Canis lupus familiaris: one gene and its partners. The protein of the gene in region 2 purifies or fractionates together with the protein of the main gene of each other region. This does not show direct contact. Links are inferred from orthologs where the notes say so. Each region holds a gene or a part of one and is shown on either strand. Other genes may lie near its edges.

Evidence for each region. Proteins that work in one complex are often made in the same cells at the same time.
Region 1: the proteins of SRSF3 (region 2) and NCBP3 purify together in Homo sapiens (co-immunoprecipitation; 3 studies listed by BioGRID and IntAct, with this or other methods). This does not show direct contact. The link is inferred for Canis lupus familiaris from reciprocal best matches to the Homo sapiens genes SRSF3 and NCBP3.
Region 3: the proteins of SRSF3 (region 2) and LARP1 purify together in Homo sapiens (co-immunoprecipitation; 3 studies listed by BioGRID and IntAct, with this or other methods). This does not show direct contact. The link is inferred for Canis lupus familiaris from reciprocal best matches to the Homo sapiens genes SRSF3 and LARP1.

What each region holds. Positions count from the first base shown.
Region 1 is NC_049230.1:47,577,883-47,583,976, reverse strand, and holds part of NCBP3 (nuclear cap-binding protein subunit 3), read left to right. Parts: intron 1-2; coding exon 3-111; intron 112-2,474; coding exon 2,475-2,574; intron 2,575-2,866; coding exon 2,867-2,970; intron 2,971-4,764; coding exon 4,765-5,056; intron 5,057-6,094. UniProt on the Homo sapiens protein: Associates with NCBP1/CBP80 to form an alternative cap-binding complex (CBC) which plays a key role in mRNA export. NCBP3 serves as adapter protein linking the capped RNAs (m7GpppG-capped RNA) to NCBP1/CBP80.
Region 2 is NC_049233.1:5,859,827-5,865,360, reverse strand, and holds part of SRSF3 (serine/arginine-rich splicing factor 3), read right to left. Parts: intron 5,194-5,534; 5' UTR 5,192-5,193; coding exon 4,986-5,191; intron 3,651-4,985; coding exon 3,516-3,650; intron 1,331-3,515; coding exon 1,292-1,330; intron 1,029-1,291; coding exon 942-1,028; intron 778-941; coding exon 750-777; 3' UTR 1-749. UniProt on the Homo sapiens protein: Splicing factor, which binds the consensus motif 5'-C[ACU][AU]C[ACU][AC]C-3' within pre-mRNA and promotes specific exons inclusion during alternative splicing.
Region 3 is NC_049225.1:55,873,442-55,879,535, reverse strand, and holds part of LARP1 (la-related protein 1), read left to right. Parts: coding exon 1-52; intron 53-128; coding exon 129-335; intron 336-435; coding exon 436-598; intron 599-1,518; coding exon 1,519-1,663; intron 1,664-4,756; coding exon 4,757-4,931; intron 4,932-5,044; coding exon 5,045-5,214; intron 5,215-6,094. UniProt on the Homo sapiens protein: RNA-binding protein that regulates the translation of specific target mRNA species downstream of the mTORC1 complex, in function of growth signals and nutrient availability.

The sequences.
Region 1 (6,094 bases), on a different chromosome or scaffold from region 2:
AGTTGGACACATTGTCTCAAGTAGAAGAAGAGTCTCTGCTAAGAAATGATCTTCGTCCAGCTAACAAACTTGCAAAAGGAAATAGGTTATTCATGAGATTTGCTACAAAAGGTAAATGTGTTATTTGGCATTAATTTTTAATTTTAATCTAAGTCATTTATTTTTGAGTGACATCCATCTCTTTTGAATATGAAGTTAGGTCAAGTAATCTTAGAGTCCCTTCAAACAATAATATTCTATGCTTGTGAAATGATGGCTTGCTGTCTGAGTTGAATTTCAGACTTTGAAGGTGAATATTAGCTATTTTTGCATAGTTTTTGTGATTTCTGGCTAAAGGAAGTTATTTTCTGCTAAAGCTAGTTTGTCCTCTGTACTGTTCAGTTTATCATCTGAACTACGAAAACATTTTAAAGTTATACTTTTTTATTCATCGTAGCAGTATCTTCCTGGACGTTGCTAATAGTGCCATTCTCTCAAAGGAGTTAAAAGCCTCTTAAGGGGATCCCTGGGTGGCTCAGCAGTTTAGCACCTGCCTTCAGCCCAGGGGGTTATCCTGGAGTCCCAGCATCGAGCCCCATGTTGGGCTTCTGCATTGGACCCTTCTTCTCCCTCTGCCTATGTCTCTGCCTCTCTCTCTCTGTATGTGTCTCATGAATAAATAAATAAAATCTTTGAAAAAAAGAAAAAATAAAAAAAATAAAAGCCTCTTCAATTTGTAAGACTCTCTGCACAGTGATTTTGGTGTGCATTAAAATATATATGAATTTTGAATATGGAATACTCCCTGGTTTATTTTTCTTGACTGAGACATGTTTAGACTATCAGCTCGTTATTTTATTTTTTTAAATTATTTTAAGATTGATTGATTGATTGATTGATTGATTGATTGATTTATGATAGAGAGGCAGAGACACAGGAGGAGGGAGAAGCAGGCTCCCTACCGGGAGCCCGACATGGGACTCAATCCTGGGACTCCAGGCTCGCGCCCTGGGCCAAAGGCAGGCGCTAAACCGCTGAGCCACCCAGGGATCCCCTCAGCTCATTATTTTATAGACTGCCTCTCAGTTTCTGTTTGTCTGATATCTCCTCCTGATTAAATCAAATTGTGCGTGTTAGGCAAGAGTACCACAGAAGTGCTGTTATATCATTTTCAGTGCATATGTCAGGAGACATGATATTTACTTGTCCCATTTATGGAGATGTTAACTTTTCTCACTTGGTTAAGGTTTCTCCTGTTTTTCCATTTGTTAATATAAAAATTTGTGGGAGGTACTTCAAGATTATGTAAATAGACTTTTGCTCATAATTCCACTCAGCATCCATTGATGACTTTTTAACTCTACATTTCTTTATTTGGCATTCTGCTTTGTAAGAAGTTTGCTCTTTTCTTTTCTTTTCTTTTCTTTTCTTTTCTTTTCTTTTCTTTTCTTTTCTTTTCTTTCTTTTCTTTTCTTTCTTTCTTTCTGTTTAGATTCATGAGTCTTATTCAGTGGGTTATCATTCATTCCTATCATTCATTTGATTTATGAATCTTCTTGGATTTGGCCAGTGGAGCCCCTTTAAGCTTTATTGTTTTGACATGCATTCATGATTCTTTGAGCATTTTCTTACTTTATGGCACAGTATAACATCTCGTTTTACCAGACTCGACTTGTACTTTCCCTGTCCCAGATCTGGAATCAGCCATTTCTCCAAGGAGCTAGTGGGCATGTTTTTTTTTAAAGGGTGCACTTGTTGGCTTGTGCCACTATTTACGTGTAGCACCAGATACATGTGTATTGGTATTCACCTTTTGTAATCCATGAGTGCCCCAGGAGCTAGCAAAGACCTGTTACGAAAATGTGTGTGATCACTGACCACCTTTTCTTTCTATTGACTGGCATTTTAACTTGACAAAAGTGATCTTTTCTATGTTTATAGAGTATCTTATTTGAATGCATTCTAAGTGAATGGTGCTATGCTGTTTTCTTTAAGCCATTTTGAGAACATCATGATAGATGGGAAAAAATGCTTTACCAGATATATGGAATTATGTATAGTCTCTTTCTTTAACATTAATTCTTTGTTATTGGAGTGTTGTCATTCAGAAATGAATGTCATCTTTCATGGAGACAGTGAAAATGCTACCTCTTCTAGAAAGCTTTTTTTATTCCCGCACAGCTATACTGACTGTAGCTCTCTTAAGCTTCTTAGAACTTTGTATGTTGTATTGTTGTTGTTGTTAGCAGTGTTTTCTCTATGAGGTCAGCTCCTTAACATTAGCTTAACTTCATTCATCTCTGTATTTTACTCCACCCCCTCTATACTGCTCTGCTTTTGTAGGCACTGAGAGTGAATATTTGTAGTGTATCTTTCCCTTTTGTTGGTAGATTGTGCTGATCTGATCCCAACTATGGAAAACATTTTTTTTAGCCATTCAACATTGTCTTCATACCAATGCAAAATCCTAGGTAACTGTCGTAATTAATTTTTAGATGACAAAAAGGAACTTGGAGCAGCCAGAAGAAGTCAGTATTACATGAAATATGGGAATCCAAATTACGGAGGCATGAAAGGAATTCTTAGTAATTCTTGGTGAGTCCAAAATTTTAAAATACAATTTTAAATAGTACCTAAGCTTTTCTTAATCCCTCAGTTGGTATTCTGCAGTGGAATGTCAGCACTATGTGTGGACTCAAGGAAGACAAGAAGAAAGTTCAAGATTCTTAACTGTGGGTTAAATGGTATGAAAGGCCAAGTTTTAGTTTCATGTAAAATGTCTGTTTCAGCACCTAACATTGCATCGGTGTACAGTTAAACTCAATTAGTGGATTTCAAGGTCCTTCCTATTGGTTTTTGATTATGTGCTTATTTTGGAATGTTGCAGGAAGCGAAGATATCATTCCCGTCGCATTCAGCGGGATGTGATCAAGAAGAGAGCCCTGATTGGGGATGACGTTGGCTTGACGTCCTATAAACACCGACATTCCGGTAGTTGCCTGCTCAGCTCTTGGGTAGACACATGTTTGGCTCCCGAAATCATATTCTTATTCTTAATACAGTCTTTTAAGGTTCCAAACTTTATCATCCTCTCTTCCTTGCCCTCACCCTCTGCCAACATATAGGAAAGTAAGTCAAGTCACAATTAATTTTAAATTGCCCATACAAAAGAGGTCAAATGATTTAATAAGAGCTGTTCTAACAAAAAGGGCCAAATGTGACATAGGAGAAATTGAAAGAAAATTTTCTGTAGCAATCTAATTTTTCTACTATTAATATCAAAAGCTGCATGAAAACTTTTTAAGTTATTTTATCATATGACTTGATTTTATGGTTTCTTTGATGTTGAAAATAGACTGCTACGTTTAGTGTTTTATGCTTATTGGCTTGTGTACACGAATGTCTCAGTTAAATGAGATATCACGACTTGGTTTCATTTTGTTTTTTGTTCCGTCCATCCTTTGTTCCTTTGTTTTGGTGCATATTATAAAAGAACCGTTTTCATTATGTTTTTATAAAGATTTGTTTTTATTTTTAATCTAACTTATAGAATTTTCTACATGCTTTGTAGAACTGCTAAGTCAGCATACAAACATAGGATAATATGCATACATGTTTATCATTGTAACGGACAGGTGAAGTCTCGTTTTTATTTAATGTATATATTCAAAATTGTATATTTGAAATCTGCATCTAAAAAATGCACATACTTTTCTGTTACAGTTACAGGTTATACCAATTTCAAATTCTAAGATATTTTATCATATAATCTTTAGATTAAAGAAATTGAAAAGCAAATCACCCCCTAATTCTAGCACTTTTATTATAAGCAACTTATTTCATTTTATATTTTCCTTATCTATTTTCATAACAAATATAATTGTTGTGAACATATATTTTTAGTCCTACTTTACAAGCATTTTTCCATGAACTCTAAAGTTACAGTTGATTTTTGTTATTCATGGTGGTTATGTTCTATAAAGTCACTGTGATCATTGATATAGTGAATACTAAAACATTCAGAGACTCTGGTCACCATTTTCATCAACTGATCAGTATATAACCTTCTTTGCTGTGTGTTTCTGTTTAAAGATAACTTATTAAATACATATTGTTGATTCATTAACATTGGACTCACAGCCAACAGCATTATAACTCATGCTTGAACAAAGCTTACTTAACACAAATTTATTCTGTAAGGCACATCACAGTCTTCTTGTGCTTAGAAACACTAGACAGCTTTGACACTATACCCGGAAGCCATTTTTTTAAATGTTTAAGTGAACTCACCAACAAAAGCCACAAAAATATGAAAAACATGGCACTTCATAGATTCCAAAAAAGGGCACTTGTTTACAGTATGAGAGCTGAAACAAGAAAGAGTGTTGTCTCATTTGACCTCGGCTGGGAATACGCACATCTGGTGACTCAATTTTTTTTTGACACTCTGTGCATGTCCACAAATGGCCATGAAAACACTGTGAGTGTTGATACAGAGTTACAAATAAATATGGCAGATTTGCAAATATAGAATTCACGAATAATGACAACTGTACTTTAGATAACTTTATAATATTCCATCAGGTTGCTAGATCATACTTTACCTAGCCAATCTTCTATTTTAGGTATCAGAATGGCAACTAGATTGGCACTAATACAGATAATACTCCAGTAAGATCTCGGGCACGGGAACACCACCTTTTAAAAAGGTCACCAATATAGAGCAGAAAATCAGATTCATTAATTTTAGTGCTTTTCCTAATGTTTTTTGGTTAAATTTCTTAGGACTAGTAAATGTTCCAGAGGAACCCATTGAAGAGGAAGAGGAAGAAGAGGAGGAGGAGGATCAGGACATGGATGCAGATGACAGGGTGGTAGTAGAGTACCATGAGGAGCTCCCAGCTCTCAAGCAGACCCGGGAGCGGAGCACATCTAGGCAGTCCAGTGCCAGCAGTTCAGACTCCGATGAAATGGACTATGATCTAGAACTGAAAATGATTTCCACTCCTTCACCAAAGAAAAGCATGAAAATGACCATGTATGCTGATGAAGTGGAATCTCAGTTGAAAAATATTAGGTGAAAATATTTTGTCTTTTTATCAATGCTTTTAATTTTGTTTTAAATACTAATTCCTAACTTCCTCTTAACTCTTAATTTTATAATTTTATCTGTTGCATCAGATTTTTCCTTTAAATATACAAGAATTAATCATTGTTATAAAAATGACAGTGCAGAAAAAAAATGACAGTGCCGAAAGTGAAAATCACCCATAATCTTATCCTTTCCTAAAATCATGACTTAGCAGTCGAGTGAATAACTTTCCTGCTAATTTTATGCATATACCTAACACATGGAGAAATTCCAGAGTTCTACAGAAATGAAGTTGTATTTATATTGTCTTGCAGTGTGCTTTTCCTGTTTAATATAGTGTAGATTTCTATTTTCTACAGAAATGAAGTTGTATTTATATTGTCTTGCAGTGTGCTTTTCCTGTTTAATATAGTGTAGATTTCTATTTTTTCATCCAGATATAGTCCTTTGTTTGAAAATATCATGATTTATTTGGTCAGTCCCTTATTGATAGACATTTAGGTTTCTATTTTCTTACTATTGGGATGCCTGGGTGGCTCAGCGGTTGAACATCTACCTTCGGCTCAGGGTGTGATCCTGGAGTCCCGGGATCGAGTCCCACATCAGGTTCTGTGCATGGAGCCTGCTTCTCTCTCTGCCTGTGTCTCTGCCTCTCTTTGTGTCTCTCATGAATAAATAAAATCTTTTAAAAAATAAAATTAAGGGATCCCTGGGTGGCGCAGTGGTTTAGCGCCTGCCTTTGGCCCAGGGCGTGATCCTGGAGACCCGGGATCAAATCCCACGTCGGGCTCCCGGTGCGTGGAGCCTACTTCTCCCTCTGCCTATGTCTCTGCCTCTCTCTCTCTCTCTCTCTCTCTATCATAAGAAGAAAAAAATTAAAAAATAAATAAATAAAATTAAAATATATCTTACTGTTGCACTAACTAGATAAATTTCTTGAATTCCAGTTATTGCACAGAGCTGCATATATGTTGAAAAATGTGATGGTGTTAGGGTTGCCTGGGTGCACAGTTTCAGCATCCA
Region 2 (5,534 bases):
CATATTACAAATGACAGCATGAAAAAAATCTTGCACAGTAACTCAAAGTTCAGCTCTACAATGTACCCTTAAACTGGCAGGACACTGGTATCTTGAGTAGTTTCAAATCACCAAATAGAGAATGTTACAAAGAGCTGTGTGTTCACATACAGCAATCACATAAGAAACTTATGACCTAAAAGCAAAGGTAAACTAACTTTCTTGAAACTTCCAATTCTACACCAACTGGACAACGCCTGCCCAGTATGAAAACTAGTTTTTCTTTAAACCTCTAATCTAGCTTAACAGTGCAGCTTAAATTTTTACCTGCTGGCTTGTGCTCATACCAGCTTTTAAAGACTGCTTCTTCAACTCCAGCTGCAGAATATAGCCCAGCTATGTGAGAGACTCTTCTTTCAATTTCTGCCGGCTTTGTTTTCATAATATTAAATGTCAAGCTTTAGCTGGGCAGAGTTAGAGGTTTATTATCAGTCAATGTAAGACTGAACTTCAAAACAAATTCAATTTTGCTTAAGGGAACATTGTAAAGTAACAATTCTTGGTATTACATGCCTCATATGATCCATTCAAATCATAGAGAAATACATCTTTATGTGTCACTGTTCCAAGAGACAAACAAATGTGAACAGCTAAAACATCTTAAAAATGCACCAAGCTTATGAAGTCTCAAACAAAACTTGAATTTTCTGTACATACTCCTGTCAAATGAAGTTATTTCCTGTACACCAATCCTCTTGTAATCTGGTCTTCTACTTCCTTTCATTTGACCTAGATCGGCTAAAAAGAAAAAAAAAAAAAAGGAAAGTTTCATACATAACTCAGTAATACAACTGTATCGGACTTTTGTTTTTGAAAAATAATAAAAATAATCAAAATGGTTTAAGATAACCAATTCCTGTTTTTAATAGTTTATAAACAGTCTAAGTCATTAAAGGTCTTACCTACGAGACCTAGAGAAGGATCGGGACGGCTTGTGATTTCTCTCCCGGGACAGTGATCTCTCTCTCCTCCTATCTCTAGAAAGGGACCTAAAACCAGAAGAAAAATAGGACCCACTTAGAATTATACACAACAAACCTCTCTTAAGAACTCTTCAAAAACTAAAAGTTGGCTCATTCCTACAACACTGGCTCACTCTGTAGACCACTTGATTCATTACTAAAGCTAAAGTTTTTTTTTTTTTTTTTTTTTTTTACCACTAACCATGCCATTTAGAAAACAGTTTAAGAACAGGAAATGCTGTCACTTCTGAGAACACGGCCAAAAAAAAAAAAAAAAAAGAGCTATTTACCTGCTCCGGCTGCGGGAGAAGCTTCTCCGTCTTGGAGATCTAAAAGCAGAAACAGGAAAATTAGGCTAATTGTCAATTAGTATTTATGGCGTGAGGCATTTCCCAACTTTTCAATCTCACTGTTGGGCCCAGTGAACGTGCCGAAGAACTGGCACCCATCGTCCAAAAAAACAAAATAAAACAAAACCAAATTAAAAAAAAAAACAGGAAAAAAAACAGAAAAGAAAAAAGGCACAGAAGGATTAAGGAACCAAAAGCTCAAGTGAAAAGCAGGTATTCCAACCATGGACTCACTTTAACAAAGAATGCTTCACAGCAGATCTGTCCAATGCAAAACTTCATGTCAAACTAACTTCACTACCCAAACACCACGCCAAAATATAGTCCCACAAGTAGTTCCAAAAACAGTACCATAAACCAGTATTTGGAACCCATGCAAACCTATAAGTCCATGACAAGACTTAGGTACCAGGTGGATAGTGTAATTTTGTGAAAACGCGCTAGGTGTAAATACTGATGCCATTAAGTGCTACATTAGAACTGCATTTGTGATCGTCACATTTAAGAGTGTGTTTAGGTTCATAAAAATTACCTTAGCTTGGCCCACTTTACCCCCAAAATTTAAATTTTGAAAACTGTTAGTAAAACCATTTAAAGGTGATAGGATTCAACAAATTTTTGCTAGAAAGGAAAGCTAAATCTGTTAGAGTTATTAAAATTTTTAGTTTGGCATCTCACACATGCAAATAAGTTTCACTTGAAGGTCTAGTTACATTATGAGTTCCCTATCACCCTTAAAAGTTTTATTCAAGCAATATATATGTACGTTACCATTCAATTATGCACAGCCAGCCTTTGATCCAGAAAAAAGAATTACTTTAAGCCGCTTACTCCTTATTTTAACCAGCAGTAAACTGTATAAGCAGGAAAAACTTACTAGTTTTGGGTTTCAACAAGCTAGAAATGGTGAGGTGAGGCTGCCGGACTGACGGCCAGGAAGAATTTGCTGAAAAGGTTTTGCCAGATGTTGCGTTGGATTTAGTTGGTTGGCGAAGGGGGTGTTGTGGATTTTTCCTGCTTTTTTGTTAGCCGAAGGCTGCTGCTGTAGTTGTTGTGAAGACATTTGGTAAATAAACAGCTGAGCTGATTGGCCAGGAATGTGTGGGCGGTCGAGGTGGCTGCTGCCGATTTGGTTAAGGTTGGAGAGAAGGCTGAGAGAAAACAGCATGCTCGGGAACCAAAGGGCGGTGCAACCTGACGACTGGCCATGCCTGGGTCATGTGAAACGACACCAGCCAAGCTGAATGGGGCGCGCTGGTCACATGACGCTGAAAGGGCTAGTTGACTGGCTAATGCAGACTCAGAGGGTGGTGAGAAGAGACATGATGGTGACTCTGTAACGGGGTTCATTTTTATTAATAGATGGACCAAAAAGCACAAAAAAAAAATGAAAAACAAGCCATCAGTACAACCATCTATTTAGCTAACAAATACTCTTTATTATGATGGGCAACAGTGTGTTGTTTTGTTTTTCAAAATAGCAAAAGGGGCAAGATTTTGAACTCCTATCTCCTAGAAGGACTTCACTCACCTGTAAGAGGTAAAATTCAGTCCTTATAGAAACTATTTTTGGAGGTTTGAGGAGATGTGGAGTTAGCATCCAGACAATACTGCCTGGTCCAAGAATGATGCCATTTTTCAATTACAAAAAAACTGAAATCTCTCCTATTTGGGTTTGAAGAACAGATGACTGGGATTACTTCTGTAGCCCCCTTTATCGGTCAGTGACTTTAGTTTCAGAATGATTTCTACTTTACCAGTTGTAACATTACAACAGCTGCCTGCTTGATAAATACTACAATCGTGCTAATAGTAGAAAACACATTTTTGTGAAGAGCTAGTTGAATGTAATGTTTGTCATTATGGAGTCAAGAAATGGAAAAAGGCCTAATTGAAGTATAAGGGAAGACTTGGAAAGATGCAACTAGAAGATGAACTAGAAGATAGATCCAAGATAGAAGTTACTGACTACCAACATGAACAGTGACCTAAAGACAAAAGCCAACACTCAGCACAACTCACATACCCCAAACTACACCCAGCAAATGTTTCGTAAAAATCTCCAATCTTCCAAGTTTAAAACCCACCAACAAACTTTAAGAGAAATACCTGCTCCCATTAGCTACTCCATTACACCAATACCTCTAAGCACGCTCTCAAGTACCTGCGCCGAGGTGGAGGACTCCTTCTCCGATAATCATCTCGAGGGCGACGACCCCAAGAAGGAGGTGGGCCACGATTTCGACTTCTCTTTTCACCATTCGAGAGTTCCACTCTTACTCGGCAGCCACACAGCGTTCTAAGAATAAAAGAAATATTAAACTTAAAAGAGCCAGACTAAGAGGTGTATTAAAGCAAAGTGTTTCTACTTATAGCTTCTTTGCAAAGTACACTTACGAATGTCTGTAAAATCCTAACAGCAAAACAAGTATTTCTAATAAAGAAAAACTTCTTTACATTTTAATGCTTTGTTAGTCTTAATCAGAATTCAGTGTTGTCAACATTTCAAGTGTGAAAACCCCTGGACTCCAAGAACTAGCTCATCTGTACATCCTGCTGGGACTTCATGATCCCACCACTTTTTTATTAATCTTAAACTGTATTTGCTTGTCTTTCTCCTCTCTCTCTCTCCAAGCAACAGCAGGGAACCAAAGCATTATGGCCATTTTACATCACCATCTCCTTTCAACGGCCACAATAATTGACAGGAAACTACAGCTGAGAATAGTTGGGAAAGTTCTCCCTCACCTCTTCATTGTTACACATCTGTTTAGATAAACCACTATTATTTGGACAGTGATTTGGAAAAAGTGGAGTCCTGGAAAAATGGGTCTCTATGATCTGCCCTGCCTGGATAAATGACCTTTCATACAATTTTAAAGCCAATCCTAAACCCTTTAACTTTTTGGATCTTAAAGATTAAGATCCATCATTTCCCTTGGTCTCATGAAATCCAGTGTTTTTCAAAGACCAGGAAGGAGGGGGATAAGGGCAGCCACCTGGTTCCTCTAAGAGTTACTCATCAGCCAGTAATAGGACACAAAATGAAATAACTACATATTCCACACTTACTAAGTATTTCAAACACATTTATTAAAGAGGTTATAATAAACCCCAATGTAACCATCCACTTACAACCGTCAGTTTGTGGCCATTTTAAAAAAGATTTTATTTATTTATTTATTCATGAGACACAGGCAGAGGGAGAAGCAGGCTCCCTGCAGGGAGCCTGATGTGGGACTTGATCCTGGGTCTCCATTATCAGGCCCTGGGCTGGAGGTGGCGCTAAACCGCTGAGCCACCCAGCTGCCAAGTTTGTGGTCATTATTATTTGAATATCTGATTTCCAATGGTTTCAGAGAAAATTCAAAAGAGGACACCATGTGGAAGGTATAGATTAAAATGCTTTAATCACATTTTGGATACAAAAACCCACCCACCAAGAATTGACCATTAAACCTCACTGGTCACCTGAATAAAACTGTTGTGCTTTTTCGTTACAGCAAAGACTTATGTCTCTAACGACAAACTTCCGACAGGCAAGCACCCATCTAAAAGCCACAAATCCTAAGAACTTTATACATTAAAAACACAAACCACGTTATTTATCAGTATAAATTAGTCATCAAATTACCTTCCATCTAGCTCTCGGACAGCATCCGCTGCATCTCGGGGATCTTCAAATTCAACAAAAGCAAAGCCGGGAGGGTTTCTAGCAACCCACACACTTCGGAGTGGTCCATAATAGCCAAAAGCTCGTTCCAATTCAGTCTTGTTACCATTGTTTCCAAGATTACCTACATAAACCTTGCAGTCCAATGGACAGGAATCACGATGCATTTCTGTAACATAAAAATACCCCAAACATTAATCATTTATGTCAATAATCTACACAGTGAAATACAGATCCTTAAGAAATGATGATGAAACAAGTACTACCCTCAAACCACCCATTTCTCTAATCTACACTGATATCCACCAGGAATCCACCATAAATTACATTAAGGAAAAAAAAATGCCTCCCTGAAAAGCTAAGGGAGGGGAGACACTCTAGGACCATTTACTATGATCTGGGCACTGAACTAGGGACTTTATCTAGTATTACAATTAATCTCAAAAATAAATCACTTAGAAAAGCAGGGTAACTTGCTCAGAAGCAAATCCTGGAGACACAAGAAACAAA
Region 3 (6,094 bases), on a different chromosome or scaffold from region 2:
GCTCGCCCTCCAGAGCCACGACACACACCTGCCAACCGAGGGGAGATCAAAGGTATGTACCACCCACTGTGGAGGGCCTGGGCATGGGGGTCACCCTCAAGCGTGACCCAGTGCCCCTCTCCCCATAGGGTCTGAGCCTGCCACCTACGTGCCCGTGCCCATGGCCCCCCCCACCCCAGCCTGGCAACCAGAGACCAAACCGGAGCCTGCCTGGCACGACCAGGATGAGACATCGAGTGTGAAGAGTGATGGGGCTGGTGGGGCGCGGGCTTCCTTCCGTGGCCGTGGACGGGGGCGCGGTCGCGGCCGGGGACGCGGCCGGGGTGGCACTCGAAGTACGTGAGGCCCCTTTGGGCTCCGGGATGTCCGAGGGAGTGTGGCGGGGGCGGTGGGCAGGGATCTTCTCTCCCTTATGGCACCCATTTCCCCCCATAGCCCATTTTGACTACCAGTTTGGCTACCGAAAGTTTGATGGTGCAGAGGGGCCTCGTACCCCCAAGTACATGAACAACATCACCTACTACTTTGACAATGTCAGCAGCACTGAGCTTTACAGTGTGGACCAGGAACTGCTCAAAGACTACATCAAGCGACAGATGTGAGTGGACAGAAGCCTCCTTCCTGGAGCGATGCATAGGGTTGGGACCTGTCATGCTGGGTAGAGTAGGGATTGGCAGGTCCTTCTGGTGCTATGGTAGCAGCATATCCTGCACCAGCAATCTTTGGTTGCCTTTGGCTGGAGCTGAGAAAGATAACCAGCACTTACCCTTTAAAAGTTAAATTTTCATAAAGATAATATTGCAAAAGTAATATCGTATTTGCTTTAAGAAATTTAGAAATTACCAGTGATAAAAAGGAAGGAGGAATGTCCAGAGTCCACCCCCTTCTGCACTTGTCTGTGTTAATGGCAACATGGTCAGAATGCTAGCAAACACCTGTGGAGTACTCCCTGTTAGTGAGGCCCAGTGTTAAGCGCTTTACAGGCATTCTCTCTTGCTTGGTCCTACACTTATCTCATTCCTATGAGCTGGGTGTTAACTCCATTTCAGGGATGAGCACACAGACCCAGGAACTTACCCAGAGTCTCAGAGCTAGTAAACAACAAGGCACAGATTTGAATCCATTTCCGCCTGATGTGGAACCCTAGCTCCAAACCAGTCCTATAGATTGTCCCTCAGTCTAGTTGGGGAGCCGTACAAGGAAGTGGATCATTTCGGTAGAGTGTGATAGTGTTTTAGGAGAAGAGAAGGTGACCGGTGACAATGGAACTGGGTTTTAATGGTGGATGAGGGGTTTGCCAGGCCTACAGAGAGGCTGAAGGGCCGGGGGAGTGGGTCTAACCTGAGGCGAGGGAGCCATGACAGGGTAACATCTCTTTCCAGCCCTTGATACTGTCCGTACGATAGGGTCAGGGTCGGTAAGAGGCTATGTGAGGTGGCCGGGGGTGGGGGGGTGTAGGACGAAAAAGGCAGACTCCTAAGTGACGCAGCAATCTTCTGTCTTCTCCTCTCCACCCAGCGAATACTACTTCAGCGTGGACAATTTAGAGCGAGACTTCTTCCTGCGACGGAAAATGGATGCTGACGGTTTCCTTCCCATCACCCTTATTGCTTCCTTCCACCGAGTGCAGGCCCTTACCACTGACATTTCACTCATCTTTGCGGTAGGTCTCCCTCCCTGGGGCTGGGGTGCAGGGGAAGGAAAGGTCCTTACTTATGGAGTTGGAGTGTGGGCCCCGGCAGAAAACCCTGGAAGAGTCCTCATCTGATGACTTCTGCTAAAGCTTCAAGGCTTGGCCAGCCTCTCTGCCTCCCTTCTCTCCTCTTTCTCCCTCTTACTGTGGAAAATTGCAGACATTTACAGAAGTAGACAGAATGGTATGATGAACCCATCGCCCAGCCTCAGCAATTACCAACTCATGGCCCGTCTCACTCCATCTATCCCCCATCTGTTTCCTCTTCCAAATTACTTTGCAGAAAATCTCAGGTAACCTGACATTTCATCCATGTTTTAGTACTTATCTCTAAAAGATAAATACCTGATAAAAAATGTAATCACTATATCATAATCCCATGTAAAAATGTTAATAATTCTTTAATATGTCTAAACAGTTGCGAACTCTCCCCATTTGTCAAAAAACATTTTTGTATTTTATGAGAATCAGGATTCAAAGAAGACCCATGTGTTGCCTTACTAAGTCTCCTCTTCCCTTCTCTTTTACTCTGCAATTTATTAATTGGAATAAACTGGGTTATGTAGCTTGTCAAATTTCTCATGGGCCACAAGTGATGTCCTCTAACATGTTCTTCTGTATTCCTCCAGGAGCCTGATCAGATTCAGGTTTGGGGAGTTTCCCTCCCCTCTTTGTCAAGAATCCTTTATAGAAAAAAAAAAAAAAAAAAAAGAATCCTTTATAGATAATGATATGTTCTCTCAGGTGGCACAGAGCATTTCATTTGTTCTCTCTCCTGATGCAAGCTGCTGTTGATGACCCCTGCCTGTTATTTCATTAGGGATTGTGAAATGGTGAAATTCTAATTCTATCGATCTGTCTTCATTTGTTAGCTGGAATGCCTCTTTAAGGAGGAACTTTGCCTCATCAGCTATTCAGTTACCAAGACGTATGGTTTGTACAGAAAGAGCAGATAAATACTTGATCTTTCCCTTTGTTAACCGATTGTCAGAATTATGAGTTGATTCCTGATAACTTTACGGGTTGTGGGTTCAGGTGTGGGGTTGTTTTGCTTTAGTGTCTTTTAGTATCATCACAAACCTGTGGATTCAGACATCCTGTAGTTTCAGCCCATTGCAGTTCATAAACTGAATCTAGTTGTCCCATCTGGAGTTAGAGGAATCCTGGTTGATCTGGTACATTTCCTGCCTCAGATCTGGAATAGGCTTTTTTTCAAGGAGCTTTAGATCCTCTTTTGGGGAAATGATATTTATATACCACACAGTTGGAGTTATAGGGATGTTCATTGCTGCTTTGATTGATCATTGTTTCTAGAGCTGCTTTTTTTTATTTTAAAGATTTTACTTACTCATCAGAGAGAGAGAGAGAGAGATAGGAAGAGGCAGAGACACAGGCAGAGGGAGAAGCAGGCTCCATGCAGGGAGCCCGACGTGGGGCTTAATCCCGGGTCTCCAGGATCACACCCCAGGCCAAAGGCAGCGCTAAACCGCTGAGCCACCCAGGCTGCCCTGCTTCTTTTTTTTTAAGTACGTCAGGAGATCATACTGAAATTTTCTATTAAAGTTCAGGACTACAAGGACTTTATAACACCAATGACCTTTTATTTGTAATACTTTTGTACCCCAAATCCTAATGCTGATGATGACCTCAACATAATTACTCATTTTGTTTTATTCAATAGTTTGTATACCTTATTCTTATAATAATACCTCTACTACTACTAAAAACAGGGTTTTTTTCTACTTAAACACTCAAATGACTGTTTTCAAGTACTGGAATGATCTTTGTATGGTTATGTTTTTAATTTGATGTGTATTAGTTTCGTTAGTTTCATTTAGCTCTCAAGTTTTAGGGATTGCTTTTTCCCCTCCAATTTCTAATTGTTTTGCACTTAGGTAAGACATTTGCATGACTGTAAAATCAACATGGTATATTCCTAGAAGACCGACTTAAAATTCTCTCTTAAAATTCTCCTTTTTCCTTTTATTCCCTTATAGGCAATTTGTTTCAAATCCTTTGTTTAAAAAAATAAGCAAATGCCTCTTCCTGTATTTGTATCCTTTTCCTCTCTTAGATGGCAACATATAGAGCATGTATTTCTTTACCTGTTCTTTTGTTTTCAGTTAATACATTTGGGTGCTGACTGCATAGTAGTACATAAGAGAAAGATGCTCTTCATTCCTACTTAGACTTGCATATATATCTTTTCATATTTTTGCCAGCGTATCATTGATGTAGATTTATAGAAGTGAGAAGGCTGCACTACAGGGCAAATTGCTGGGTTCCCTTTCTTCAGGGGGCTGTGCCTTTGCACTTCTGACGGCAGTAGAGCAGAATGCCTGTTGCACTGTTGAAATGTTTCCCATTTCCACTAAAAGGATTTTTAAAGACAAGTCTCCTCTCTTCTCCACTCTTCACCCTTTTTCCTAGAGATAAGTAAGCACCCATAGCAATTTACCTGTGAATCCTAGAAAAATGTGTATGTGTTTGTAAGTTTTTATTTAAAAATTCAAACACCAGTGGTATCTTAGGCACATTGACCTACACCTGTTTTGTTTTTTTGTTTTTTTTATGGCTCTTTCCACCTCAGCACATGTGAAGCTGTTTTTAATGTGAGTAGTATACCACTGAATAGAGAGGCCGTTACTTATTTTAAATGATCTATATGGTGGCAAATTAGGTAGTTTCCAGTTTTTTCCATATTACAGACTGTTGCTATGAATGGCTTTTTTTTTTTTTTTTTTTTTATGAATGGCTTTTTATCCACATCTTACACATAATGTAATCTATCTGTGGCCCTGTTTCTCTGGGGGCGGATGAATGGATATAGAATGAATGGCAAAGTCAAAGGGCAGGTTATGTTTTTCACGGTGGTGCCCTCCTACAAGTTTGAACATCTCGTCTGTCTGCTAGTTGTGGAAGATGGTGCCAGTTTTCTTATACTCCTGCCAGCACTAGACTCCTTCCTGAGTTCATGGGGGCCAGCCATTCGTCTGCCAGCTTCTGAGACCTCATTCTTTCCAAGTCTTTTCTTTGCATAGACTCCTTCCTTCTCCCCTGCAGGCCCTAAAGGACAGCAAGGTGGTGGAGATCGTTGATGAGAAAGTCCGCAGGAGGGAGGAGCCGGAGAAATGGCCTCTTCCTGGTCCCCCCATAGTTGATTATTCCCAGACTGATTTCTCCCAGCTCCTCAACTGCCCCGAGTTTGTGCCCCGCCAGCATTACCAGAAGGAGACAGGTAGGTACTCTGGGCCTCGAGGTGCCTTCCTGTTGTCCTCCAGCCAACAGTCCTTAGGGTTGTCATCGAGAGGACAGCTGGAAGGTTGAGGACCTCACCTTTCCACCCTTCAGAGTCAGCACCTGGTTCTCCCCGTGCAGTCACCCCGGTGCCAACCAAAACAGAAGAGGTCAGCAACCTAAAGACGCTGCCCAAGGGCCTGTCTGCCAGCCTGCCTGACCTGGATTCTGAGAACTGGATTGAAGTAAAGAAGAGGCCGCGGCCGTCCCCAGCGCGGCCCAAGGTGGGTGGGCTGTGGGACTTGGAGGAGCTAAGCCGGAAGGCCGGCTGGCTCCGGCTTATGGCTCGAGTCGAGGTCAGCAGTGACCGTGGGAAAGCTGGTGGGTCCTTGTCCTTTTTCAGTGAGGATCATGTCTCAGGACAGGCCCCGGTTGTGGGAGTTCCTGAGTGGCATTCTTCGTGGGAGGAAATCCTCTGGCTTCTGGCAGTAGTGTCCCAGCTTTCTTGGTGTTTGGCTCTTTGTCTTGCCCCATTGAAATCAGTGGGGCTGTTGTAGTGCCTGAGTGTGTTTTCATTGTCCCCTAGATAAGCCATTCACGCCCTCTGAAGAGGAAAGGGAAAGGGAGCAGACACATGGCCTGGATGTAGAGTTAGTCTAGAGAGAAGAATACAGGTCTTCTGTCACTGATGGGTATTGACCTTGGGCAGCTTGGTTAATATCTCAAGTTTTCAGTGTTTCCATCTTCAGATGAAGGAGAGAAGGGCTTAGACTGCCCTAGAAATTGTAAAGCAATATGCCAGTAGTACACATTGAGAAGTGTTTCCATTTCAAACTAAAACTAGTGCCCCCTTTCCAGGAGCAGTTATGTGCTCCATCTACCCCATTCCTCACCTCCCCTTTGGAGATCTCTTTGGTCTGGGGCTTGTGAGGAGGTCTCCTAGACCTTGGACTTTGGGTCTCTGAAATTCTGTCTCCTTTTCCATTGTGCTGCTATGACTGCCTCCCTCTTGTTCATACCCTCATACTCTGACTTCCCTGTCTCTTCTGGGTGTGGTCCTGCACAGAGTGTCCAGGATCAGGCCAGAGTTATGAGGAAAACAGTGGAGAGAGGGACCTTATGAGGTTCAGGCCTATAGAGTGTGAGGCTTTGGAAAGGCAGGCA